Notamacropus eugenii: one gene and its partner. The protein of the gene in region 1 interacts with the protein of each later gene in a biochemical or structural test. Links are inferred from orthologs where the notes say so. Each region holds a gene or a part of one and is shown on either strand. Other genes may lie near its edges.

Region 1 (12,407 bases):
AGTGCTTGCACATTATAGTAGGCAATAAATGTTTGGTTTTATTTTTTTCCTTCACTGGTTTAAAACAAAGAAAAGGCAATAATTGAAAGCTCTTTGCTCAGATACTGTTGGTCATTTGTTTACTTTAAATTTCACAATAAACAGAAAAAGAAATCATTCTTTTGAAAGCTGATTAACAAGAAGGAACTTTGATATTTTCTACAGACATGTCTTTCTGACCTAGTGTTGCAAAAGAACGCTGTGTTCTCCCAAAGTGAAAGTAAATAGGTTGTGTATCCTTTGGAAAAGTCTTATCTTTCAATTTTCAGGATTGGATATAAGGGATACTTAATACTGCACAAAACCATTGAGGTAATGGTTAAGAAAGAATAATTTTCTTTTGGATTATGCCCATGACAGTTTTCTAAAAACTATTTTTAACTAAAATCACAAGATGAGTAAAGCATTTCAGTACCTCCTGTGCATGCTCTGCCTACTTCCTCTATAATTATTCAGCTTACAAACTGGAATTTTGAGAGAAAGAATAGCAGAATATAATTTTCCATTTCTTTATCATTTTGATTGTGAGTAGAACAATTTGCCTCTACTTTGATGTAATTAACTGGAGGCAAAAATGTCTCATTAGTGTTATAGGCTACTAAATATTATAGGTTTACTGAGCACCCATTTCATCTTCAAAAATAGATGTTCTCTTTTCAATGCTTTGTTTGCTATAGCTGGGATAATGTTTCATATTTCATCTGCTACTAATTTTACATGGGAAATACTCCCTGTTCAGGGACACAATACCAAAGGGCATCTCTGCAGTTCATAGTAACCATAGCAATGACTGTTCTAAAATATAGAAAGAGAGCCTCTGCCTGCACAGATGGTATCATTTTACTGAGTAAGAATCAGGTTCACAGGCAGCGATATCACCTGGACCCCAGAATCTGACGTGATAGTAAAGTAAGACAATAACATGAGAGCTTGTGACACAGGCAAGTGCTTAAAAATAGCGATGATATTCAGACCAACCTCCTAGAGGAGCATAATAAAGAACCTAATCTGTGCAGATATAGAACTATTCTCATCATGAAGGTGAATCATAATTCACCTATTTGACAATATTTGGACTTCACTAAAAATATTCCTTAACATAAAGCCTACCAATGTTTATTTCTGCATTGTGTAATCCAACTAACTGTAATTCTAATAAAATTATAATTATCCATTTCTTTATGTGTTATTATTACCAGACCAGAAAGGCAGCACAGCTTAGTGGCTAGAAGTCTGACTTTGTCACTGTGCTAGCATATTAAAAAAAATTAGTTCAAGTGAAAATATTCAGAAATAATATTTTCTCTGGCTGAAAAATCCTTTCCAGACTTTTCCTTTGAGAAGAGGAGAACAAAAGAGCTTTTCTGGAGAGTCCAGTTAGATCAACTCAACAAATATTTATGAAGGACTTAACATGTGCCAGGCACTGTGTGAAGTGAAGAAGACATAAAGAAAGTTGAAAACAGTTCCTGACCTAATGAATACGAGTGGGAAAAAACCCTAAACAAAAAGTGACTTTGATCCTGTAAGATACTTGTCTTCCCTGTCCCCAAAGTCATTGGGTTATGTTGTTGTTCAGTTGTTTCAGTCGTGTCTGACTCTTTGGGACCCCATTTGGGGCTTTCTTGGCAAAGATACTGGAGTGGTTTGCCCTTTCCTTCTCCAGCTCATGTTACAGATGAGGAACTGAGGCAAACAGAGTTAAGTGACTTGGCCAGGGTCTCATGGCTAGTAAGTGCCTAAGCCCACATTTGAATTCAGGTCTTCCAGACTGCAGGCCTGGCACTCTATGCGCTGTGTCACCTACCTGCCCCTATTGGGATATGAGAAGACACCTAAAGGAAGTACCCTTTTCTCACTAAAGAGGAAATATTCTCTTCTTTTATTCAGAAAAGATCAAAATGTTGATGATATTGATCTAAGGTAGGAGATTCTTGGGGAGGGCAGTCAAAGAAGGAATTGAGTAGCTATGAAGTGACTTGTTCTATTTGTTGAAGTAGGATGTTAATTCTAAACTTTATTTTAACATATTATAACATTTTCCTTGCTCAAGTTTCCTATAAATAATACCTCAAATAGTATTGGGATAGAGAAATGGCAAAGGGTATAGGGTGAAAGACTACTTGTACAGTTCAAAGGCTTCTCTTTCTGTAGGTTAAAATGTTTAGATTTAGAATACTGTTAAATCAAATTTTAAAGGTTTCTGGTACACTTATACCTAAAACACAAGGGTACAATATTAAAACATGTAATTACCCATATGCTCAGACTTACCTATTATTTACTGTATGTTTTTAGCATACTTTTACTTTATTGTTTTCTTTTCAATATTTATTTTCTTCCATGTTCCTGCCATGCATAGAATTCCATGGATACATCCGTCTGTTTTGTTGCATATGCAGTTTTGTTATTTGCATTTATGTTGATTTTTCTGTCTCTAGGCTTAATGATATTGCTGCTGTTTTGCTATCATTTGACCAATAAATGAGTAAATATTGATTAAGCACCCATTACATGCCAGGCACTGTGCTAAGCATCCAGGATACAAAAAGAAGCAAAGGACAGTCCAGGCCTTCAAGGAGTTTGTGCTTTCTTAGGAGCATAAGTAGAAGGATTGTCCTTGGTAAAGAGAAAGTCACCTCTTCCTCAGAGACTGGAGCAAAGCAAGTAAAGACAAACAAAGGTATAGAGGGGTTTTTGTCTATGAAACAAGGGATATTTGGGAGCTTACCCAAGGTGTCCTCAATTTTCTCGGAACAGTAAGAAGAAAGGTCACCTACTAAGAGAATGGGTGTAGAGTACAATTAGAGAGCTTGGGGAGAGGAGAGAAAAGTCTTGCAAGATAAAGAAGAGAGCCTATAAGTCTATTAAGGAATATTACAAGGATTGCAGTGCAATTGGGAAGGCCCAGTTTATATTAGATAGCATAAATTTGTAGTTGAGTCAAAAGAAGGATGGTGGGAATGATCCAGAGGATGAGGATGCTTGGCAAAGCATGAGTAGTGCCAGGATGAGGGGACAGTGAATTCAAGTGTAATAACAGCTGACATTTATATAACATTCATTATGTGCCAGGCACTGTACTGAGTACTTCTACAATTATTATCTAATTTAATCCTCACAAAAACCCTGGGAGGTAGGTGCTATTATTATCCTCACTTTACAGGTGATGAAACTGAGGCGAACAGAAGTTAAGTGACTTGCTCAGGGTCACACAGCTAGTAAATGTCTGGTAAGTCTAAGGCAGGATTTGAATTCACTTGGCTTTAGACCCAGCACTCTACTCACTGATAGTAAAGACTGATAGTCTCTACCCCCTGCCTCTCACCATAAACAAGGAGAACAGGAAAGAACAGAGGAATCAGAGATCAGAGTTAGAATGAAAAATGGGGGTGGAGGGTGGGAATGAAACAGAAAAATAGAGGATGGGAAATGATGAACGGAAAGGAGGATTTCAGAGTTCAAGGTCATAGTGGTGAAATATAAGGTATGACCACTCATTCCTATGGGTTAATGAGGTGGAATAAAGATCTAAGTCATAGGCATTGAGGTATTATGAACAGGGAAGCCATGATGCTGGTAAAGTCCCACCCTGCCATTCAAATTCTTTATCTTTGTCCCTTACATGACATAGGTGGGGACATTTTCCATATGATAGTCACATGCATAGTTGTATGCAACTATGGGGGTTGCCTCTCTAGCAAAACATAAGTTGGAGAGTTGAAGGACGCTGCCTTCTAGTGAGTGGAGTTACTGACCAGTACCACATTCTTGAAAAGAAGAGGATTGTACATGTGGAGCCCTCCGCAGAGAAGGAGTACAGCTATTATGTTGTTCAATCATTGTGTCTGACTCTTCACAACCCCCTTTAGGGCTTTCTTGGCAGAGATACTGGAGTGGTTTGCCATTTCTTTCTCCAGCTCATTTTGTAGATGAGGAAACTGAGGCAAACAGGGTTAAGTGACTTGCCCAGGGTCACACAACTGGTAAGTGTCTGAGGCCAGATTTGGACTCAGGAAGATGATGTCTTCCTAACTCTAGTCACTGCACTCTATCCATTTCATCATTTAGCTGCTCAAAGCTATTATATGGGAGAAGCAAAAGACTTTGCTCTTACGGAGTCAGGAAGACTTGAGTTAAAATCTAGCTTCAGATATGAATACATGACTTTGGACAAGACACTTAACCTCTTTGATCCATAGTCTCCTCATCTGTAAAATGGTGATAATAGCGCCTACCCCTCAGTGTTGGTATGGGGATAAAGTGAGGTTATATTTCTAAAGCCCAGAGAAGTTCATCAGCATTGTATGTCAATTTCACGATGGCATCCTGGTCCGGGTTCTAGATAATGGACAATGCTCTCTTGCCTTCCCAGTCATCAGTGGAGTGAAACAAGGCTGTGTGTTTGCTCCCATGATTTTTAGCATGATGTTTTCAGCCATGTGGTCAAATGCTTTCAATGAGGATGAACATGGCATCAAGGTCAGCTACCACACTGATGGTAAGTTTTTCAATTTGAAAAGGCTACAAGCCAAGACCAAAGTAGAGGGAGTGTTGGTACATGATTTTCTGTTTGTGGATGATTGTGCACTCAATGAAGCCTCTGAAGTAAGATGCAACAAAGTATGGATCAATTCTCTGATGCTGATGCTAATTTTTGCCTAACAATTAACACCAAGAAAACACAGGTGCTCCATCAGCCACCATCACACCATCCATACATGGAACCATTGGCTACAGCAAATGGAGAAGTTTTGAATGCTGTGGATAAGTTCACTTGCCTTGGTAGTGTACTTTCCAGGGATGTATACATTGACAAGGAGGTTGATGCATGCATTGCTGGCGCTAGCTGGGTGTTTGGGAGGCTCCGAAGAAAAGTTTGGGAGAAAAGAGCGATTAGACTGACTACCAAACTGAAGGTCTACAGAGTTGTTGTGCTGACCTCATTGTTGTATGCCTGTGAAACATGGACAGTCTACTAGTGCCATGCCAGGAAACTGAATCACTTCCATTTGAACTGTCTTAGGAAGATTCTGAGGATCACCTGGAAGGATAAGGTACCAGACACTGAAGTCCTTGCTCAAGCTGAACTGTCAAGCATTCAAGTTATGCTTCAGAGAGCAGAACTCCAATGGCCTGGCCACATTGTTTGAATGCAAAATGTACACTTGCCAAAAAAACTGTTTTATGTAGGACTCACACAGGGTAAGCATTCACATGGTGGTCAGAAGAAATGCAAGGTCACACTCAAGGTCTCTCTTAAGAACTTTGGAATTGATTGTATGACTTGGGAGTTGCTGGCACAGGACTACTCAGTATGGCATGCCTACATCAGAGTAGGTGTTGGGCTCTGAACAAAGCAGAATTGAAACAGCTCAAAGGAAACTCAGGATGTACATATTTAGCATCTCCACCTCAAATGTTCATACCGACCATTTGTGCCTGACCTGTGGTAGAGCATTCTGAGATCATATTGGTCTGATCAACCACAGCTGGACACACTGAAACCTGACTCTAGCACAGTGATGTCATTTGGGTCCTCTTTGAGAAGGAAGGTCAACAACAACCATTTCTAAAGCACTTTTGCAAACTGTAAAGAATTATATAAATGTTATTATTTAGTTATGAAGACAGTGCAGATTCAGTAGGAAGGAGAAGGCTTACTTATCTTTTCTAGAGAAGTCTAAATCCTTAGAGACTTGAGCCTTTAGCTGCTCCAAATTCATTTCCCCTCCAGGAGGCAGTCCAAACCACAGACTGATGCCAGAAGTCCAGACAATTGCACATAGGCCATAGGGGGAAAGGTGGAACTCATTGGGAAAAAAAAGAGGAAACAAATCAACTGTTTATGGGCTATTATGAATTCTTTATGTTGTTTTGTACATTCTGTAGGATGGAATAAAGGTTATGTTCCTATGGGATCTGGAAACCTTTTTACTCACATCTGTGTAAACTTATCAATGAGTTGTTTGAGCCATATAATAATAATAGTTAACATTTATGGAGAGCTTGCTTCCTATGCCTTTTTCATAATCAAGGAAGAAGTCAAATTGTGCTGGCCAAATGAAGCAATATCCTGTTTTAACACTGCCCAGCCTCACCAGTGTACTCATGAGTACATTTTCCCAAAATACTGTCTCCCTTTGATTTAGTCACACTTCTGCTTTAATAATGACATGTGGGGAGGGGGAGGGTGTGCTAAACTTTGGCAAACATTTTGGCAAATGTAAGAAGAATCGATATGGGTCTTCTGTTCCTCAAACTAGTGATTTCAGGGTAGGATCACAGGCTCATTATAGCATCATAACAGCACACATTTCTTTAGTACTTTATATATATTGCTCATTGGAGACTTCCTATAACTTCTTTGAAGTAGGTGTTACTATCCTCACTTTTCAGGTGAGCATACTAAGGTTCATTGTTGTTAAGGGTCCAGGATTACACAGCTGGTAAGGATCTGAGGTAGGAAAGAGTCAAACCTAAGTCTTGGATCATAGATTTACAACTGGAAAGGACCTCAGAAACCATCTAATGTAGTCCTCACACACACACACACACACACACACACACACACACACACACACACACACACACACACACACACACACACACACACGGAAAGGAAAGCCCAGAGAAGTAAAGCAACTTGCCCAAAGTCAAACAAGTAGGAAAAGCAGTATTGGAAATAAATTCATTTGAGACTTCAAATAACGACGGTTAAATAGGCCCACATTGCCACATTTCCATTGTTATGGCTCAACACAAAATAGCTTTAACAATACAAAATAAAGAAAGAAAAAGACCCTTTTCATCAACTTGAAGAGGAAAAAAAGGTTAAAAATGGAAAAAAAATTGACCCTTCACAACAAAAGCTTTCCATTAGATCCCAGGTTGAAGGGTGAGAGTGGGTGGGGTATGAAAATGGGGATTAATAATGAGACAGCTCTGCAGGCTTTGCTCATGCATAGATCATTACTTTAGAGTCGGGAAGGAACCCCAAAGACTGTCTAGTCCTCCCCCTCATTTTACAGACAAGAACAAGCAAGGTTAAATGACTCATCTATTAGTCAGAGGTCAGACAGGAATTTGAGCAAAGGTCCTGATTTCACTACCAACCCTGCCCCCTCTGCCCTAGAGTCAGCCCTTTGCTCTTTAACTAGAATGTAGGGGAGAGCAAGTAAGCATGGATCATGCCTGAACCATAAAGGTATCGATGTTTCACGTTACTAGTAGTACTTAGGGCTTCAGGTTATTCCTCTACAAAATGAGCAAAACCTTATAAGCTGCTATGTTCACAGGATCCCAGATTTAGAACTGCAAGGAACCTGAAAGAACGAGTTCAATCTCTTCTTTTTACAGATGGGGAAACTGAGGCCCAGAGGTACCTGCCCAAGGTCAGACATGGAGTAAGCTACACAGAGGTATGTTAAACCTCTAAATGACTCTTCCAGCTCGAAATCCCTATGACTTTAAAAAAAAATTTTTTTATTGATGTCTTTTGAGTTAACATAGAGTAAATTTCCCCCGATTCCTGTAACTTCGAACTAGCTACACTAATTATTAAAACCTAATCACAAGAGACCCCGATTTTGAACTCCAGCAATGGGAGAACTACTGCTGGGCGTGGACAAAACCCTAGATCCGTCACCTCCGAGTCCTCAAGCCTGGGGTTGGTCCTGCCCTCCAGTGCTTGGGCGTGCGGGATAGGAGCTCTTGCCCCGGTGCTAAGTTCGGGATCGTAAGCGGCAAACTGGGTAAAATTCTTGTAAGAAGCTGCAGTCCAAGTTCTGAGGAGTGGGCGCAGTGGGCACTCTGTTGGGCTCACTGTTGGTCAGATAGCTCACTGGTCAGAACCTCACTTTCACTTTAGGATTCTGGAGCTCCGGAGCCGCAGTTTTGAGGGTGAGTTACTTACTCCTACCACCCTTGCCCCTTTTTCTTTAATTTTCCTTTCCTTAATGCTGTGAACATGTCTACTTCTGATCTGTCTTTTAAAGGGGTTTAGGGAGGGGAGGGAGGGCTGCTGGCAGACGGTTCTTATCTGAATCATAGGTGGGTTATTGTGTGTTTGTGTTTAAATCATCATTTTGCCTGACCTTTCCTTGGCAGTGGTCCCAGACCAGCTGCTGGCTGGATCTGGAAGGAAGCACAGACTAGAGACCTGGAAAGAAACGAGACATGGCATCCTTCTCTTGGGAGGTACTGAGGATTTCTTGTCCCGAGAGAAGGAGGAACCCTTTTTTCTGTCCTGATCTTTGTGTCCTTTTTAGACCCACTGAAACTGGGGTTGCCACTCAGTTTACGCCGATCAGAAACTTTAATTTGTTTAACACTGAAACAAGTGGCTAGCACGCAGGAGTCTGTGAAATTCGGCAGTTTCCGTTTCTCACTTTAAATAGTCCTAGAAGAGGCAAGACGTTGGTGTGGTTGTTTTTCCTTCTATTTGAAGAGGACCTTGACTTCCGGGGAATGGGATATCCTAACTTGCAAGTGAATTGGATTTAAAAGAGGCAGGGCTGAACTGTGCCTACGTGGTTTCATTTTCCAAGGACTGCTTATTTTTGAAGTTTTACCCCTCCCTCAAAAGGAAAGGTTTATGTGTAAAGGGAGGAGACTGAGTTTATTTGTGTCCAAGGACTATTCTTTATTGTTTCACAATTGTGTTTCTCAAGGTAGGCATTTTGACAGGGTGTGCCGGTTCATGTTTGCTGAGTGTTCCAAGTTGATCAGTCTGTTTTTCTCTTCAGAGTAAAACATCACAAAGTTGTTACTTTAAAGCTTCCAAGTAATTTTAGTGTTACAGGACTGATAGCTGGAAGGGATCATTAGATCCCTGAGAGATCATTCTGTCTAGTCCAACTCTCCCCAGTCCCTTTTTTTTTTTTACAGATTAGGAAACTGAGTCCTAGAGAGGTTTCCAGGAAGCCTCTAGGGAAGGGAGCTGAAACTTGGGTGACCCTAAACAGGTCCCTTGGCCTTGGGCCTCATTTTATTTATAAAGTGGGGACAATAGTCCCCTTAGGATCCACCTTAAAGATTTGTGAGGAGTGTGCATTTTGTTTGGTTTTTTAAAAATGTATAGTTTGTTTTTTACACTAACAGCCTTTACAACTATAACTTTGTACACCTCTCTCTCCCTCCCCAACCCAATATGCACCTCTCAGAGAGCCATTCCTTATAACAAGAATGGGGAAAGAAGTTCAGCAAAACTAAGCAATATATGGAAAAAGTCTGATGTTATTCTACACAGTGTTCCATACCAGGGTGTCTTCCACCTCTGCAAAGAAGGGAGGGTGCATTTTCTAGTCTCTTCTACAGGCTAAACTTGGTTATTATAATTTCAGGTTGTTTTTTTTTTTTCAGGAGAAAATCATTCTTTTTATAAAACTGAGTTTTTACTTTTTTTTCCTATTTCTCACATTATCATGATATTTCACGTATTCCACCCTATACCCCTTCCTGAAAGCCATCTCATGTGACAAATAGTATTTTTTAAATAGGAAGAAAAGTCAGCAAAACTGTTGTTCAGTCATGTCTGATTCTTCATGACCCCATTTGGGGTTTTCTTGTCAAAGAAAGAGTACTTTGCTATTTCCTTCTCCAACTCATTTTATGGGTGAGGAAACTGGCAAACAGGGTTAAGTGACCTGCCCAGGGTCACACAACTACTAATTATCTGAGGCCATGCTATGATGAGTCTTCCTGATTCCAGGCCTGGGACTGTGACACATACCTGCCCTAGCAAAATTGATGGATAGATTCAAAACGGTCTGAAGAAAATATGTGCAATGTGTAAACCTTCTACCTGCTCAAAGGTGTAGGGTGGAGGTGTCTGCTGCTGTCTCTTCATTTGAGTTCTTTTTGATCTTTATAATTTTGTTACATTTGCTTTTGATTTTCTAGTATGTTTTCAGTGTACATTGTTGTAGCTGTTGTATGCATTGTTTCCTTGGCTCTGCTTACTTCAATCTGCATCATTTCATATAGATCTTTCCTTGCTTCTGTGTATTCATCATACGCATAATTTTTTACAGCACAGCAATAGTTCATTACATTCATGTACCACAATTTGTTTGGCCATTCTCTGATTGATAAGTATCCACTTTGATTTGAATTCTTAGTTATCATAAAAAAAAGTGTTGCTATAAATATTTTGGAGTATAGACAGTTCTCACTTTAGGTAAATGGCAATTTTTACATAATACAAATTTCCCCCCTCTTCCTATGGGGAAGAGAGAAAGACAGGAAGAAGGGGCAAGCACAGGTTTCAGGAGAAGTGAGAGCAAGAGGACGAACAGATGGGGACAGAAACTGAGAGCCACACATAGACTCAGATAGGAGTGGTTGGCAACAGGGGCCAGGAGACAGGGCAACACAGACTGGGACAGATGGGGTACCTCAGCCAGACTGATGAAGATTGATGTGTAGCAGGGCAAAGGTTTCCTCTCTGGTCAGCTGCACTAATAGTGGTGTTCTCTCTGCCCTTCTACTTTTACTTCAAGGGTTTTTTTTTTTTCCTGGTGGGGGGCGGGGTACTGCAGAATTCAGAACTGAGGGACAGGTGGAGAAAGTGAGAGCACAGTATTGTACAATAAAGCTAACACAGGTATTTTCGGAAAATGTGGATTTCTTTCGGAATTCTTTATCTAAGCCAGAACTGCTTGTATATGGGAACTATCAGGAGGCTCCTTGGTGTATAAACCCAGTAATGGAGTCTCTGGTTCAAAGGGTATGACCATTTTGGGTACTTCAATTACATAATTCCAAATAGATTTCCAAAAAGGTTATACTTTTCACAACTCTATCAACAATGTATTAATGTAGCCAATCTTTCCACCAGCTCTTTAACATTGATCATTGCCATTTTTTGTCATTTTTGCCAATTTATAAGATGTGAGGTGAAGCTTCAGGGTTGTTTGGATCTGCATTTCTTTCATTATTAGTGATTTGGAGCATTGTTTTTCATGTGAATACTTTGCAATTTTTTTGAGAACTGTTCATATTCTTTGACCATTTATCTATTGGGGAATGGCTAATAGTCTTGTACGTATTTACTGATTGTTTATATATCTTGGATACCAAACCCTTATCAGAAAAATTGATGTAAAGCATTTTTTCCCATTTGACCACTTCCCTTCTTATAGTAGCTACATTAATATTGTCTATGCAGAAGTATTTTCAGTTTCAAGTAATCAATCTATTTTATCTTTTGTCATTGTCTTTATCTCTTGTTTGATTAGGAATACATTTCCTACCCATAACTATGAGAAATAGATGATCTGTTTGTCTTCTAATTTTTTAAACAGTATGATCTTTAATATTAAGATTGCATATTTATTTAGAATGTATTGTGGAATATGGTGTAAGAGAAATATATTTTTTAATTCAATTTTATTTTTTTTAGGTGATAATTCTTTTTAAAGCATTTACAATATAGACCACAAAAGAATTTTTTTTAAACATTAACCAACTGAGACACAAACAATATTTATGTATGCTAACTTCACAAGCCTAATTGTCTCCAAAATATTACTAAGAATTAAAGGACCCTAACTTATTGGTGTTGGTCTAAAGTCCTAAGCCTAATAGCTTAATTTTAGACTTAACCTCGAATGTTCCCCTACCAACAATCTATAATTTAATAGATCTGGTATTAAGCTTACAAACCTTTTGAATATAGGAAATTGCCACCAAGAGTAGGGACATTGCAGGGATATAATATCTCCCCAACTTCATGTCAGTTCCAGGTAGGAGTAGATTGTCAACTTGCATTCAGTCAGTCTTAAAGTCTGCCAGGTGTCAGTGGGGAAATTGAGTCAGGAGAATCCTTCCTCAACCCAGGCTGAACAGCCGCTCTCCCACCCTTCCCATGAGATCACCTTTTTCAGTTCATACCATGTCACCGGCTTACTGGCATCATGGATTGGAGGCTCAGACCACCTTTCTTGCTCCCCATACCTGGAGTTAGACTCAGAAGAACAGTCACTTAATAGTCCCATAGCATCTTAAAATAGCAAGTTCCAATAATCAGGTTTCATATATGACTGTCATTTCACTTTGGCTAAGGAACATCTTCTGAGGCAAGTCTTAAGTGGCTTACATGCCTTTCTATACATGTTCTAGTTCCTGATTAAATAACAATCATAAAATCAGATTTATCATTAAAACCTTAACTTTTCCATCAATGCCAAATTTTACCCCGCAGTTACCTGCTTCTAGGAAATTTAGACTAAAATTCTTTTCCCCAAACTAAAGATGTCTTTGATTTATTCTCAGTAATTAATTCAGTCAATTGTTTTAATACTACTTGCTTTTACATCATTTTGTAATATGTCCATTTTTCTCCCCATTACTCCCCTCTCCCTGCT
Region 2 (11,957 bases), on another chromosome or scaffold:
GGTTTTCTCAGGCGCTACGCAGCCCACAGGGATGGCTTCCTGCATCCCTCCCCTTGCTATTGGAGCTAAACACCACTGGCCTTCTCGTCTTCATCTTCATCCTTTCTCATTCTGTTGTTGGGAGCCTTCACATCAAGGGCATCCCTGGTGGGGCTTCACATTGGACCTGAGGGCATCTAAAGTTATCCCTTCTGAACTGTAACCTGACCAAAGTCACAGCTGGGATTAGAACACAGGGCCCTGTGCCAAGTCTTGTATTCTTCCCCTGGATCAGCCTTTCATTGCCCCATGGGAAGCCAAGGGTCCATTTACATCTGACCTTCTATCATTGTGGCCTTGGGCATCTCTGGAAAAGATGGCTCCAGTAGTGTTCATGGGATGTGCAAGTGTTGGGGGAGAGGAAGTTGAGGCTGGGTCAAGAACCATAAGGGCCCACGTGATGCTGAACTCCGAACCAGCAGGGTCTAGCCCGAGGGTGGCAGAGTAGGGTTGTGGGAAACCCTGAGTGGGCTCAAAGTTCAAGAGCAGACTCAAATCAGGTTTGTGCCACTCCCTGCTTGGGGCACCCTGTCCCCTTTCTGGTCTGTTTCCACCCCTCCCTCTTTCCTTCCCTCTGCAGCCTGTGACTGGGGGCCCCCTCTTCTGCTGAGCATTTTCTAATCCTGAGGCTTTTCTGACCCCCTTTTTCCTGGCTCTCCTCTGACTGACCTCAGTCTCCTCCAAGGCTGTGTTGTGAGCCCTCTTCTCCCACCATAGTCTGCTGTGTTTCCAGGTTTTAACCACCAGCTCTATAGACGCTTCTCAGATGTTTGTCTAGCCTTAACCCCTCTCCTAATCTGGAGTCTCCAACTGCCTATTAAGACATCTTAAATTCAGTATATCCCAAACTGACCTTGTCATCTCCCTGATCCTCTGTCACGGTAGAGGGCAGTACCATCCTCCCAGACCCTCAGGCTCCCAACCCAGGAGTCATATTCCAAGCCCTGCCCTGGTGCAGGCCTCAAGGCCTTACCCCGATCTACTGCCAGACTGATCTTCCTAAAGTCATCCCGTTGCCCCAGCCATCCAGTCAGCCCCAATGGATGACTCCCTGCCATCTCCATGAGGAACCCTATTAGGCTTTTAAATAAAGACCTTTATGGTCTCCATGTAGGGACAGTGTCCCCTACAAGACCCTGAATCTCACTGGCCGTGCTCGGGCCTGGCCCTCTCAGCCTCCTGGCTCCCTTGATCTCCCACCAGGCCAGTGCCTTACGTATCCCCAACTGATCCAACATGTGTGGTTTCAATGGGTTCGTTTGCCCATTGTTTCCCCTATGACTGTGCAACTTGGAGGCAGACAGCCATTTGCCTTTTTTTTGTATCCCAGTGCCAAGCACATAGTAGGCGTTTAGTAAATGCTTGCTGACAGACCAGGTGACTTTTCGAGTTTTTCTTTATGCGATGGCATTCCTGGGCTGATATTTGGCAATCCTAGGACACTGCTATGGAGGTACTCAATGTCAAAGGAGGTGCCTCTGGGTGGCTCGGATCGCCCCACCAGCCCCTGGAAGGTGGGCTAAACATGTGGATGGAGCAATTCTGTTCAGCTGCCTGTGTGTGGTGGATTCCTTGGGTTCCCTTGAGTGCATTCTGCCCTGTAAGGTTTCCTTATCTGCTTAAGGGCCACTCAGTAGAGCAGAAAGGGACAGTCAGAGGTGGGTTTTTGTCACAAGGATGACCTGCTCAAGTTGCCAAATGTGAAGACTTGATTTCCTGCTCTGGAAAATGGGAAAGCCATCTGCCTGCCCTCCACCTCCCATTGTGTTGGTAAGGTTAGGACTTCATGGTCGACCTTCTACCAAGGCAGATGCTCTTGGGAGCTCTCCCTCTCCCCAAATGCAGATTTAGAATCCAGTTTCTTACTCTGCTGCGCTTGTGAGCTGGTGCCCCAAAGGGCACAGGATTGACCGGCTGGTCATTCATCAGCAAGGATAAAGGGGGAGGGGGCAGCATTCACATTTTTGGTTTTTGTTTGGACTAGGCATCAAAAGCTCCTGGTAACCTTGGGGGGATGGGCAGAGACGAGAAGGTGGACCACACCACATCCTATGACCTGGGGATGTTCCACCTGGAGAGGGGGCAAGGGGGCAGCAGGGAATGGGCTGCCCTGGGTAGTCCAGCCAGGAGAGCTGGCTGACCACAGGTCGGATGGCTGATTAGACACTTGTGGGACAAGGTGTGCTAGTGCTAAGATTCTCTGTAGGTCATTGTGGATGCTTTTTGGTATCCTGTGGCCATGCAAGGGCCTTGGAAATCAGATATCACAGGGCAGCTAAGGACTATGACCACCACAAGGCCAAAGGACATCCATCTGACCTCCAGGAATGTCTCCTCTCCCACATCAGGTATGGAGAAATAAGCTCTGCAGTGTGAGCAGTCTTGGTCGCCCAGAAGCTCAACATCTGAGGCAGACAAGAGGAGCTCACGTTTGGCTTCCACAAAGGTCCCTGAATTCTGGGAGCCTTCATTTCCTGACCGATAAAAGGAGGGGTTGGCATGGTCTTCTCTCCTTCTCAATCTATGATTATGTGGAGAAGCCAAATCTCTACTTCATTAGCATAATGACATTAATGCAAACGCATTTATTAAGAACCCAGCCCGCCCTGTCTTAGCCTGTCACACAAAAGCAGCATCCAGGTGTAACAACCCGCCAGCCCCCAGTGCCACCTGGCATAGCTGCAATGTGTCCACCAGAGCAAGGGGCTGTGAAGTCTCAATGATAGCAATGGTTTCGCCCAGTTCTGTGCACATGATGGTCTGCTGTGGGGCTGGGGGGTTGGGGGCTGCCACAGGTCTGGGCTGGGGTTTGGGCTCATCCTGCCCTGGATGGCTCTGCTGGGAGTGCCGCTGCCCAGCCCGGCCCGCTGTCCCACAATGAGTTGCCCCCTTCCCGCACAGGCTCCGGACTGAGGCCAGACGAGCTTGGAGACGTGAGGCTCGGGAGAAGGCTGCAGACCGGCTGTGCAGCTGCCGGTGCTGCTGCAGGTTGGAACTCTGGGTGAAACGCTTACCACAGTCGGGGCAGGGGTAGGGACGAGCCCCCGTGTGGGTCAACTGGTGGCGGCTGAGGTTAGCTAGTGAGGCGAAGGTCTTCCCACAGGCATGGCACTGGAAGGGCCGCTCTCCTGTGTGTGTACGAAGATGGTTGCGCACGTGGACCAACTTCTTAAAGCCTTTCCCACAGACCCCACAGCGGTGCCGCCGCTCGGGTGGGGAGTGCACGGCCCTCCGGTGCCTGGCTAACCGGGCCGCAGAAGAAAAGGCCTTGGCGCAGTGCGGGCAAGACAAGGTGGCGGGGGGCAGTGGGGGTGGCGGTGGTGGCGGTGCAGGAGGTGGTGGCGGGGGTGCCCCACTCTTGCCTGCATGGGTCCGCCGGTGGTAGAGAAATTTTGTCATGTTGCTGAAAGTCTTACCACAGGGGCAGCGGTGGAGGGGATTGGCCGTGTGGGCCCTGCGGTGGGCAATGAGAGTGAGCTCTGTCCCAAAGCCCCGGCCACAGTCCACACATAAGTAGCGGGCCTCGCCCCGGTGCAACCGAAGGTGCTGCTCCAGGGAGGAGGCTTTCTTGAAGACTTTGGAGCAGGCGGGACACTCATGGGTACCCCCAACGTGGGCACGGCCGTGGGCCAGGAGACGGTTGGCAGAGCTGAAGCCACGCTGGCACTGGGCACAGCGATGGAGGGCTGTGGCCGGGGTGTGGGTCGCCCGCCGGGGTCGCCGCAGCTCCTCCCCCGGTCCCCAGGCGCCCTGGCCATCGCTGCACTGGTGGAGGTGGATGGCTCCCTCATCCTCGGCCACCGCCCCCTCCGTGCAGGGGCCCTCCTCCTCCTCCCCTCCATCAGCCTCTTCCTTCTCTAGGGAGGCAAAGTGGGTGCCTTGGTGCTCCAAGAACTCCTCGGGGGTGTCCAGCAGCTGCGCACACTCGGGGCACTCGTAGGGGTCCATCGTGGCTGCGGGCGAGGGGGGCGCGGGCTCTGCCTCCTCAGGGGCAGGGCAGGCCTCGCAGTGGGCCAGCCAGAGGTCAGGGGACAGGAAGAGCTCCTCGCAGTTGCCGCAGTGGTACTGGACCTGCCCCTGAAGGGGGCCGATGGGGGGGTCGGCGTCCTGGGTGTGGGCATCCTGGTGGGCCAGCAGGGCCTCAGGCGACAGCAGGAGCTCGGAGCACTCGAGGCACTGGAAGTGGCCGTCCTCGGGCAGGGCGGCGCCGGCTGCAGCTGGGCGGCGCTCGGGGCCAGGCTGGTGCTGCTGCTGGTGCAGGAAGACCTCCTCCAGGGTGTTGTAGAGCAGGCCGCAGGCCGAGCAGATGTACTGGTGCTGCAGCAGGAGCGGGGCGCCAGGACCCGCCCCCTCCATGGCCTGCGTGCGGGGCGAAGGGGGGCGCTCAGAGGAGCCCCCCGTCCCGGTCATCCCCTCCTGCCCTCCACCCGCGCCGGGCAAACTGAGGCAGGCAGGGGCAGGGACTTCCCCGAGGTTCCACGGCGCCCCCTCGCGGCTCACTGAAGCCCCCAAGCTGGAGCGGGGGCGGGGCTCAGGCCCCGCCCCTCCTGACCTCGGGCCCCTCCTCTCCGTCTCCAGGGCCGCAGCTGCCAGGGGCTGGGACTCGGCTTGGCCCAGCTGGGGGGGCTCTCCTCCTGGGGGGCTCTCCTCCTGGGGGGGCTCTCCTCCTGGGGGGCTCGGCTCGGGGGAGGCTCTCCCCCAACTGCTCTCGTCTCTTCTCTCAATCCTTCCTCTCGGGGTCTCTCCCTCAATGTCTCTCAGAGTCTCGTCTCTGTCTCTCCTCCCTCAGTGTGTCTCCCTCCATGTCTCTCTGTGTCTCTTGTCCGTCAGTGTCCCTCTGTCTCTCTCGCCCCCGCCCCGCTCCCCCTTCACCGGGCTCCTCCCCGCCCCCTCCTCACCGCCGTTGCAGCTCCCGTTATCGCCACCGCCACCGCCACGACCGGAGCGCACCCCGCACCATCGCCGCCTCCCATTGGACGCCGCGGGACCCAATAGGCGCTGGGGCGGGGGCGGGGCGAGGCGCACAGGGGCGGGGCTAACGGGAGTTCCAGGAGGCGCAGGCGCGAACTTCTCCCAGGACGGGACTGAAGGGGAGAAGGGCCTCAGGCGCAGGCGCAGGCGGACCAAAGCTACTGGTTTTGTTTTGCGCCACTAGGCCGCGCCACGGTGCCCGGAGCGCTGGGCTTGGAGCCAAGGAGACCAGAGTCCTGAAGCGAGCCCAGATGGGAGCTGTGTGACCCTGGCCCGATCACTTCCCCGGTTTGCCTCAGTGTCCTCAAGTGTGAAATGGCACTCGTAATAAGCACCTACCTCCCAGAGCTGCTGTCAGGGTCAGAGGAGAGAAATGCTGTTTCCCCGCCCCCCCTTCCTTTCTCCTTCCAAAACTTATATATAGGTTGGTTTTGTCCTACTGCGGAGGACAAGCGTGCTTGGCTTAGAGTCGGAAGACCTGGGTTCGAATCCTGATTTGCATCCTTAGTGCCTAGGTGACCCGGGAAAGCCACTGCTCCCCAAGGTCTCTTCCTACTTGGCATCTATGCACCTCCGCCCTACCCTTTAGCCCCACCCTGGGTCTCCACCCCAGACGTAAAGAGAGGATTAAGTAAGTGGTCATTTGGGGAGCAGCTGAAGCCCAGGGGCAGGGGACCTAATTCACCCGACTCTGGCTTTGCTGGGTTTGCTTCTCTCTTTATTTCTTATCTCCTCCTTACTTTACGTCCGGAGTACTCGACATCCAGTAAGCGTTTAATAAATGCTTATTTGACTTCTAGTTGAAGCGACTTGGGGGTGGGGCACAGCTGTGCCTGGGTGCAGCCCCTAAAAGGAAGGAAGTTTGTGTTTAGGGAGGCTGGGGACAAGCTGCCCCACCCTGTGACTGACGCCCAGACCCGGGACCAATTTGAGTCTGCCCTACCGAAGGGCCCCCTGCCTCCCTTTGGGAAGGGGGGGTGGAAATGAGTCAGGGTGGGCGGGGACAGAGGGGACCTCCCTCCCCTCTTCCGGAGTGCCCACAGCCCTCCTCCCTGTGCCCGGGGCAGCTGCACCGAAGTAGCCGCAAGCCACACATCTGGAGCCTTGGCAGGTATGAGGACCTCCCCTTCCCAATCCGTGCGCCCGCCAGCCCCAGGTGGGACAGGTAGGGGCCTGGGGGGGTGGGAGGAGAAGGCCTAGGCTGTGCCTAGGCTGGGGGAGGGCAAGCTTCTCCGAGGAAGGGGCTCTTCCACCTAATTCTGCGTCCCCAGCGCCAAGCGCAGTCAGGTACGCATCAAGTTCTTCACCAGCGCTGGCTGACTGATTGATTGATGATAGGTAGACTCCGCTGGGCTTTTCTCCCCCCTCTGTTTCCCAGGCAGTATTCTGTCCAATAGGGCGGTGTTTATGTCTTGGGGTTTGTCAAACCCTCATTGCTTTGGGGGCTTGTTTACGCGACTGGTCTCCTTTTAAATCGTGCTTCTGGGTTGGCCGAACAGAGAACTTATACTTAGGAAGACCTGAGTTCAAATCCGACCGCAGGCCTTTTCTAGCCGCTTCAGCTGCCCCTGCCTCAGTTTCCTCCTCTGAGAAGTGGGGCTGATTGTCGGCGACGTTGTCCGCGGGCTGGCCTGGGGATTCGGAGGTAGGCAGGGATGCCCTTGGGTCCGATTCCACCAAGCACCGCCGGTGGACGGCGCCGAACCTGCCCATTCGTTTTGGCTGTGGGCAGGAATGCCCTGGGGGGGCACTTATGCGGCGCTTTACGTATGCCGCTTCCCCTCCCAGGTGGCTGCTCTGTTATCCCCGTTTTATAGGGGAGGAAACTGAGTCCGAAGTAGGATTTGGAGTCCGGTCTTTGTTATTCCCAACTCCCAAGGGTCTTGCAGGGAAGGGGGGGCGCTCAGACGCGGGCCAGGCCGACCCGAGAGGAGGGTCACCGGGGCCCGAGGAGGGGCTGGGCCCCCAGTCACCCCATCCTCGGGAGGAAGTGGCATCAGCCTTAATTTACAGTTGACGAAACTGAGGCCCAGAGAGGGGGAAGTGACTCGAGGCTGGGAGGGGCGGCTTTGACCTCAGGTGAGTTCAGGTGTCCTGGGGGAGAAGCCCAGTCTGCGTCCGCATCCTCCCCGCCTGCTCTCCGCACGCGCATGCTCAGCGGACCCTCCCCGGCAGGTGTGGGAGGGGACGAGGGGCGGGCAGGTGCACGAGGAGAAGACCCGTTGCGCCTGCGCAGAGCTAGCCTGGGCGCCCGCACCTGCGCGGGTGAGTGGCCGCGGGAGGAGGCGGCGGGGCGGGGCGCTCGCGGCGCAGGCGCGGTTGCGGAGAAGGTACGAGAAACAACCCCGGCGCTGCAGCCGGCGGGAGGCTCCCGGCGGACGCGACCCCCTGGGGCGGGCCGGGGCGCGGAGAGTCCGGGCTGGGCCGTCGGCCTGGGCCGGAGGGGGCCGCAGGGTTCGGACGGAGCCCCCGGGACGTGGGAGGGGCCGGGGGGTGCCCGCCCGAGCACCGGGGCAGGTAGCGGCGCCCTCCCGGAGGCTGACGGCCCTCCCCCGCCCCTCTCTGTTCCAGCCCCCCTCGGCCGCGGGCTCCCCCAGACATGGTGGGGCCCCGGGGGCCGCGCAGCCCCTGCTGGGAGGAGGATGCCTGCCTGGACTACTACGGGCTGCGGTCCCTGCACCGCGTGTTCCAGGTGGTGGGCGCCCAGCTGACGGAGCAGGAGCTGTCCGTGCTGTCCTTCCTGCTGGCCGAGGCTGTGCCCGCGCCCCGGGCCGGGGAGCCCCGTCCGGCCCCGCTGGGGGCCCCGGCCCGCTCCGGGCTCGAGCTCCTGCTGCAGCTGGAGAGGAGCGGCGGCTGTGACGAGGCCCAGCTGGGGCCCCTGCGGCAGCTGCTGCGGGTGCTGGCCCGCCAAGACCTGCTGCCCGGGCTGTCCCTCCGGCGCGCCAGACCCGGTATGCGGGGGCCCTGCGGGGGCTGTGCGGGGCGGGAGGAGACGCGGGACCGACGGGGCCCCTCCAGGGTGAGGGTTTGGTCGGGGAGGGGGGTAAGCCGCGGACGGAGCCAGCGTCCAGTCCCAGCAGGGGCCGGAGGGACTCCGGAGGTCATCCTCCGCTGGCCTGAGGACGGAAGCCGGGTGCTCTGTGGCTCTTGGTTCAGCAGGAAGGAGGAGGGGATGGGAGAAGATGAGCCAGGCTTGGAATGATGGGGGATGCTCTCCTTTTTGGAGCAGGGGGCGCTTACCGGCTTGGGAAGGAGAGCTGTGTAGGCATCTCTTGGGGAAAGCCCAGAGGGTGTGGGCCAGCTAGGTCATGGGGTTCTGGGACTTGGAAGAATAGGAGATGGGTCATGGGGTGAACCTTCTCATTATATTATGGAGGAGGCCTGGCACAGCCAGGCTCTAGACCCAGGGCCTCTGGCTCTAACTCAGTGTTCTTCATACTTTAACCAGCACCAGGACCCATGTTCCCAGAGCCCTGCCTCTTCTCTTTCTCCACCATTATTCCCAGACCACTGACGGTCTTCCCCATTTTAAGCCAATGTTGTCTCTGGCAGTCATGGCTCTCTGCCTGGCCTGGAAATGGGGGCATCAGCTGGGCAGGGGAATGGGCAGCTCCAAGAAAATGGATATCATTCTGGGCATGGGGAAGTTCAGACCCCACTTGGAGGAAGGCTGTGGCCTGGGAAGAGGCACAGGGCCCAGGGATGGATGGGTGGGGGAGCTTTGGCATCTGGGCTGGAGTTGCCCAGTGACTGTCTCCTTTTCCATTCTTCAGTGTCTCCTGAGCGTTATGGCTGTAATTCTTCCGGGTCAGACGTGGAGAGGCCAGAGGGTAGCTGTCTGGGCTCAGCCAGTACAACTTCCCAACAGGCTCAGTGGGAGGCAGGTAAGCCAAGCAGAGTGGGGTGTCTGACTTTCTGGGTCTGTGTAATGGGGTCTCTGCAGCTGTTAATGAACTGATGTAGTATGATAGATAAAATTTACTTATTGAAATATTGGTATTTTAGTAGTGGTGTGGCATAGTGAGTAAAAGACTTGGGTTCGAATCCTGCCTCAGATACTTATAGCTTTGTGACCCTGGGTAAGTCCCTGAATGTGTCTGGGCCTCAATTTCTGCACTCTAAAAGGAAGGGATTGGACTCAACCCCTAAAGTGCCACCCAACTCTAGCTCAATGATCCCAGGAATATTTCTGGGCTCACAGGCTGGAGAATCAGTTCAAATCCCAGCTCTGAAGTAGTTGCTATTATGGTTTTATTTTCTTTGTAATTCTTAGATTGTGGGCAGCACTGCCCCTGGCTCCTACAAGCAGCAAAAAACAGTGTCTTGGATTTAGAGGAAGGGTCCTTGCTTTCACAGGGGCAGCTAGGGGGTGCCATAGTAGATAGAGCACTAGGTCTGGAGTCAGGGAGACTCATCATTCTGAGTTCAAATATGGTTTCAGACACTTACCCAGCTTTGTGACCCTGGACAAGTCACTTCATCCTGTTTGCCTCAGTTTCCTCACCTGTAAAATGAGTTGAGCAGGAAATGGCAAACCACTTTAGTATCTTTGCCAAAACCCCAAATGTGGTCATAGAGAGTTGGGCAGGACTGAAAAGCTCCTGAACAAAAAGTTTGCTGCTTTCCTTTCCCGTTATTTTCTGGCTCATTGCAAGGCTCTGTTCTCCTGCCCTCTCAAATTTCCCAGCTTTGGTTCTTCACATCTTATTCCTGTGTCTCCCACCATCCTTGGTTTTCTTCTTACCTTGCCTCAGTTTATGTATTAGGAATAATAATCCCTGTTTCTCTAGATTTCCCTTAGGACATCCATGAGAATGTCACTGCCTGCTCCCTAAATGGGATGACAAAGTTATAGAGGAAGGCCAGCTGGTCCAGCCCCCTCATTTACAGGGAGGAAACTGAGGCCTGAGGCAGTGCTTTGTCCAGGGTGACACAGGCAGCTGGTACCTGGGGAAGGATTTGAATTTTGCCTAAAGCCCTTTGTCTGGCAGGTTCACCTCCTGGGAAGAGGCAGAGAAGAAGCCTGGGCCGCTCCAGTGCTGCAGGAAGGCGGCGGCGGGGTCCCCAGGGAGCATCAAGGTCCAAAAATCCTGGATCGTCTCCTGCTGCAAACAAAGTGACCTGTGGTGAGGGCTATGGGCTGAAGGGGGCAAGGCTGAGCAGGGCACTCATTGCTTCCCACACCCCTCTAGCACTGGAGTTCTTTGAGAGCTCGGAATGCCTGATTTGGGAACCGAGCATTTGGGGGGAGGGACAGGCGGGGTTATCCAGTTCTGTCGGCCTGAGTGGTTTAGGAAGGCCATTGATGGAGCCCAGAGCCGGGCAACCAGGGGGGCCTCAAGTCTAGTCTAGTATGTAGTCTTCATGTCTGAAGGAGCTGGGAACATCTGGCCTGGAGGAGGCAGTGGGATTGGGGTATGAGAGCTGTCTGCAAGCACCTGAACTGAACAGCTGTACTGTGGGAGGAGGTTACATTTTTCTGTTTGGCCCACAGTGTAGAGGCAAAGTCAGTGGGGGATATTACAGAGTGAGAGGCATCTGGATGTGAGGGGGGGAATAACAAACAACTTCCTAACAAGTTCAGGAGTGGAACGGGAGGGAGTGAGCTCCCTGGCCCTGGAAAGCTTCCAGCCCAAACAGAGAAGGGCCCTTTGGCTGGCTGTAGGCAAAACCCTGGGGAGGTGGGATAGACGGTGTTGAGGTCACTTTGACCTTCAAGATGCTGTAATTATGTGAAATCGGAATACACAGTACCAGGGGAGAAATGAGAGATGGAAGAGATGGGAAGGAAGGGATGACCCCTTCCCCTGTCACATAGTTACAGATTGTCAGAGCTGGGAAGGGCCTTGGAACAAGGGATGTCAGGGCTGGGAGGGGCCTTAGAACAGAGACTGTCAAGTCTTTAATCCCTAGCCCAGTCCTGTTTTTTTGTCAACTCCTGACTATTCTGATCATTCATCCCCCAAACAAATGATCTCAAGGGTCTCAGAGAGCAGGACATGGGATGAGAGATTCCTTGGCTCCGAGTCAGAAAGCTTGGGTTCTTGATTTGCTGTGACCTTGAGGGGAGTTTTCTTCCTCTACAAAAAAGGTTGTGTGGGTTAGGTAGTTTTTAGTGTCCTTTCCAGATCTGATGGGCTGGTGTCTGTGTGTGCATGTTCATGCCAGTCGTTAACATATATTAAGGGCCTACTGTGTGCCAGGCTCTGTGCTAAGTGATGGGGACTCAAAGAAAGGTGGAAGACAGCCCCTATCCTCAGGGTTTCATAGTCTAGTGGACACAGTATGTAAACAACCCTGTACAAAGCTATGATCAGGATGAATTGAAAATAACCAGCTATGGAAAGGCACCAGAAGTAAGAGGGGTTGGGAAAGACCTCTTAGAGACGTGGGATTCTAGCTGGGACTAGAAGGAAGCAGGAGAGAAAGCACTCCAGATTGGAGGACAGCCAGAGAACATGCCGCAGACGGAGGGTCTGGTTAGTGGAGCAGCTGGTGTCATGGTGGATGTTTTGGGGAGAAGGGTGTGAGAACACTAGAAAGGGAGGAGGAGGTAGGTTATGAAGGTTTGTGGAAAAGCTGCCTGGAGCATTTAATATTGGCTCCTGAAGTTTATTGAGGGGGGGAATGTGTGACACGGCTGGACCTGTGCTTTAGGAAAGTCACTTAATTGGCTGAATGGAGGGATGGGTTGAAGTGGAAGAGACTTGAAGCCAGCAGAACCACCCCCCAATTCCTCTTGCCCCATAGCAGGCTATTGCAATAGTGAAGTGATGAGAGTGTGCACCAAGGAAGGGGGCAGTGTCAGGACAGAAGGGGGTGTATTCAAGAGACAGAGATGAAATTGACAGGCCCTGGCACCATATTGAATACAAGGAGGTGGTGAGAGATGGTGAAGAGTCCAGGGTGATTCCTAGGTGTGAACCTGAAGAATTAGCAGGATGGTG

Evidence for each region.
Region 2: the proteins of CFLAR (region 1) and DEDD2 form a complex in vitro, tested with the Homo sapiens proteins (2 studies listed by BioGRID). The link is inferred for Notamacropus eugenii from reciprocal best matches to the Homo sapiens genes CFLAR and DEDD2.

What each region holds. Positions count from the first base shown.
Region 1 is NC_092877.1:297,261,490-297,273,896, forward strand, and holds the start of CFLAR (CASP8 and FADD-like apoptosis regulator), read left to right. Parts: upstream 1-7,473; 5' UTR 7,474-7,941; intron 7,942-12,407. UniProt on the Homo sapiens protein: Apoptosis regulator protein which may function as a crucial link between cell survival and cell death pathways in mammalian cells. Acts as an inhibitor of TNFRSF6 mediated apoptosis.
Region 2 is NC_092876.1:25,997,834-26,009,790, reverse strand, and holds the start of DEDD2 (DNA-binding death effector domain-containing protein 2), read left to right. Parts: upstream 1-5,978; 5' UTR 5,979-5,993; coding exon 5,994-6,121; intron 6,122-6,263; exon of another isoform or gene 6,264-7,170; intron 7,171-7,581; coding exon 7,582-7,961; intron 7,962-8,783; coding exon 8,784-8,894; intron 8,895-10,001; coding exon 10,002-10,136; intron 10,137-11,957. Other genes in the region: ZNF526 (zinc finger protein 526), read right to left, coding at 2,659-4,398, 4,938-5,012. UniProt on the Homo sapiens protein: May play a critical role in death receptor-induced apoptosis and may target CASP8 and CASP10 to the nucleus. May regulate degradation of intermediate filaments during apoptosis.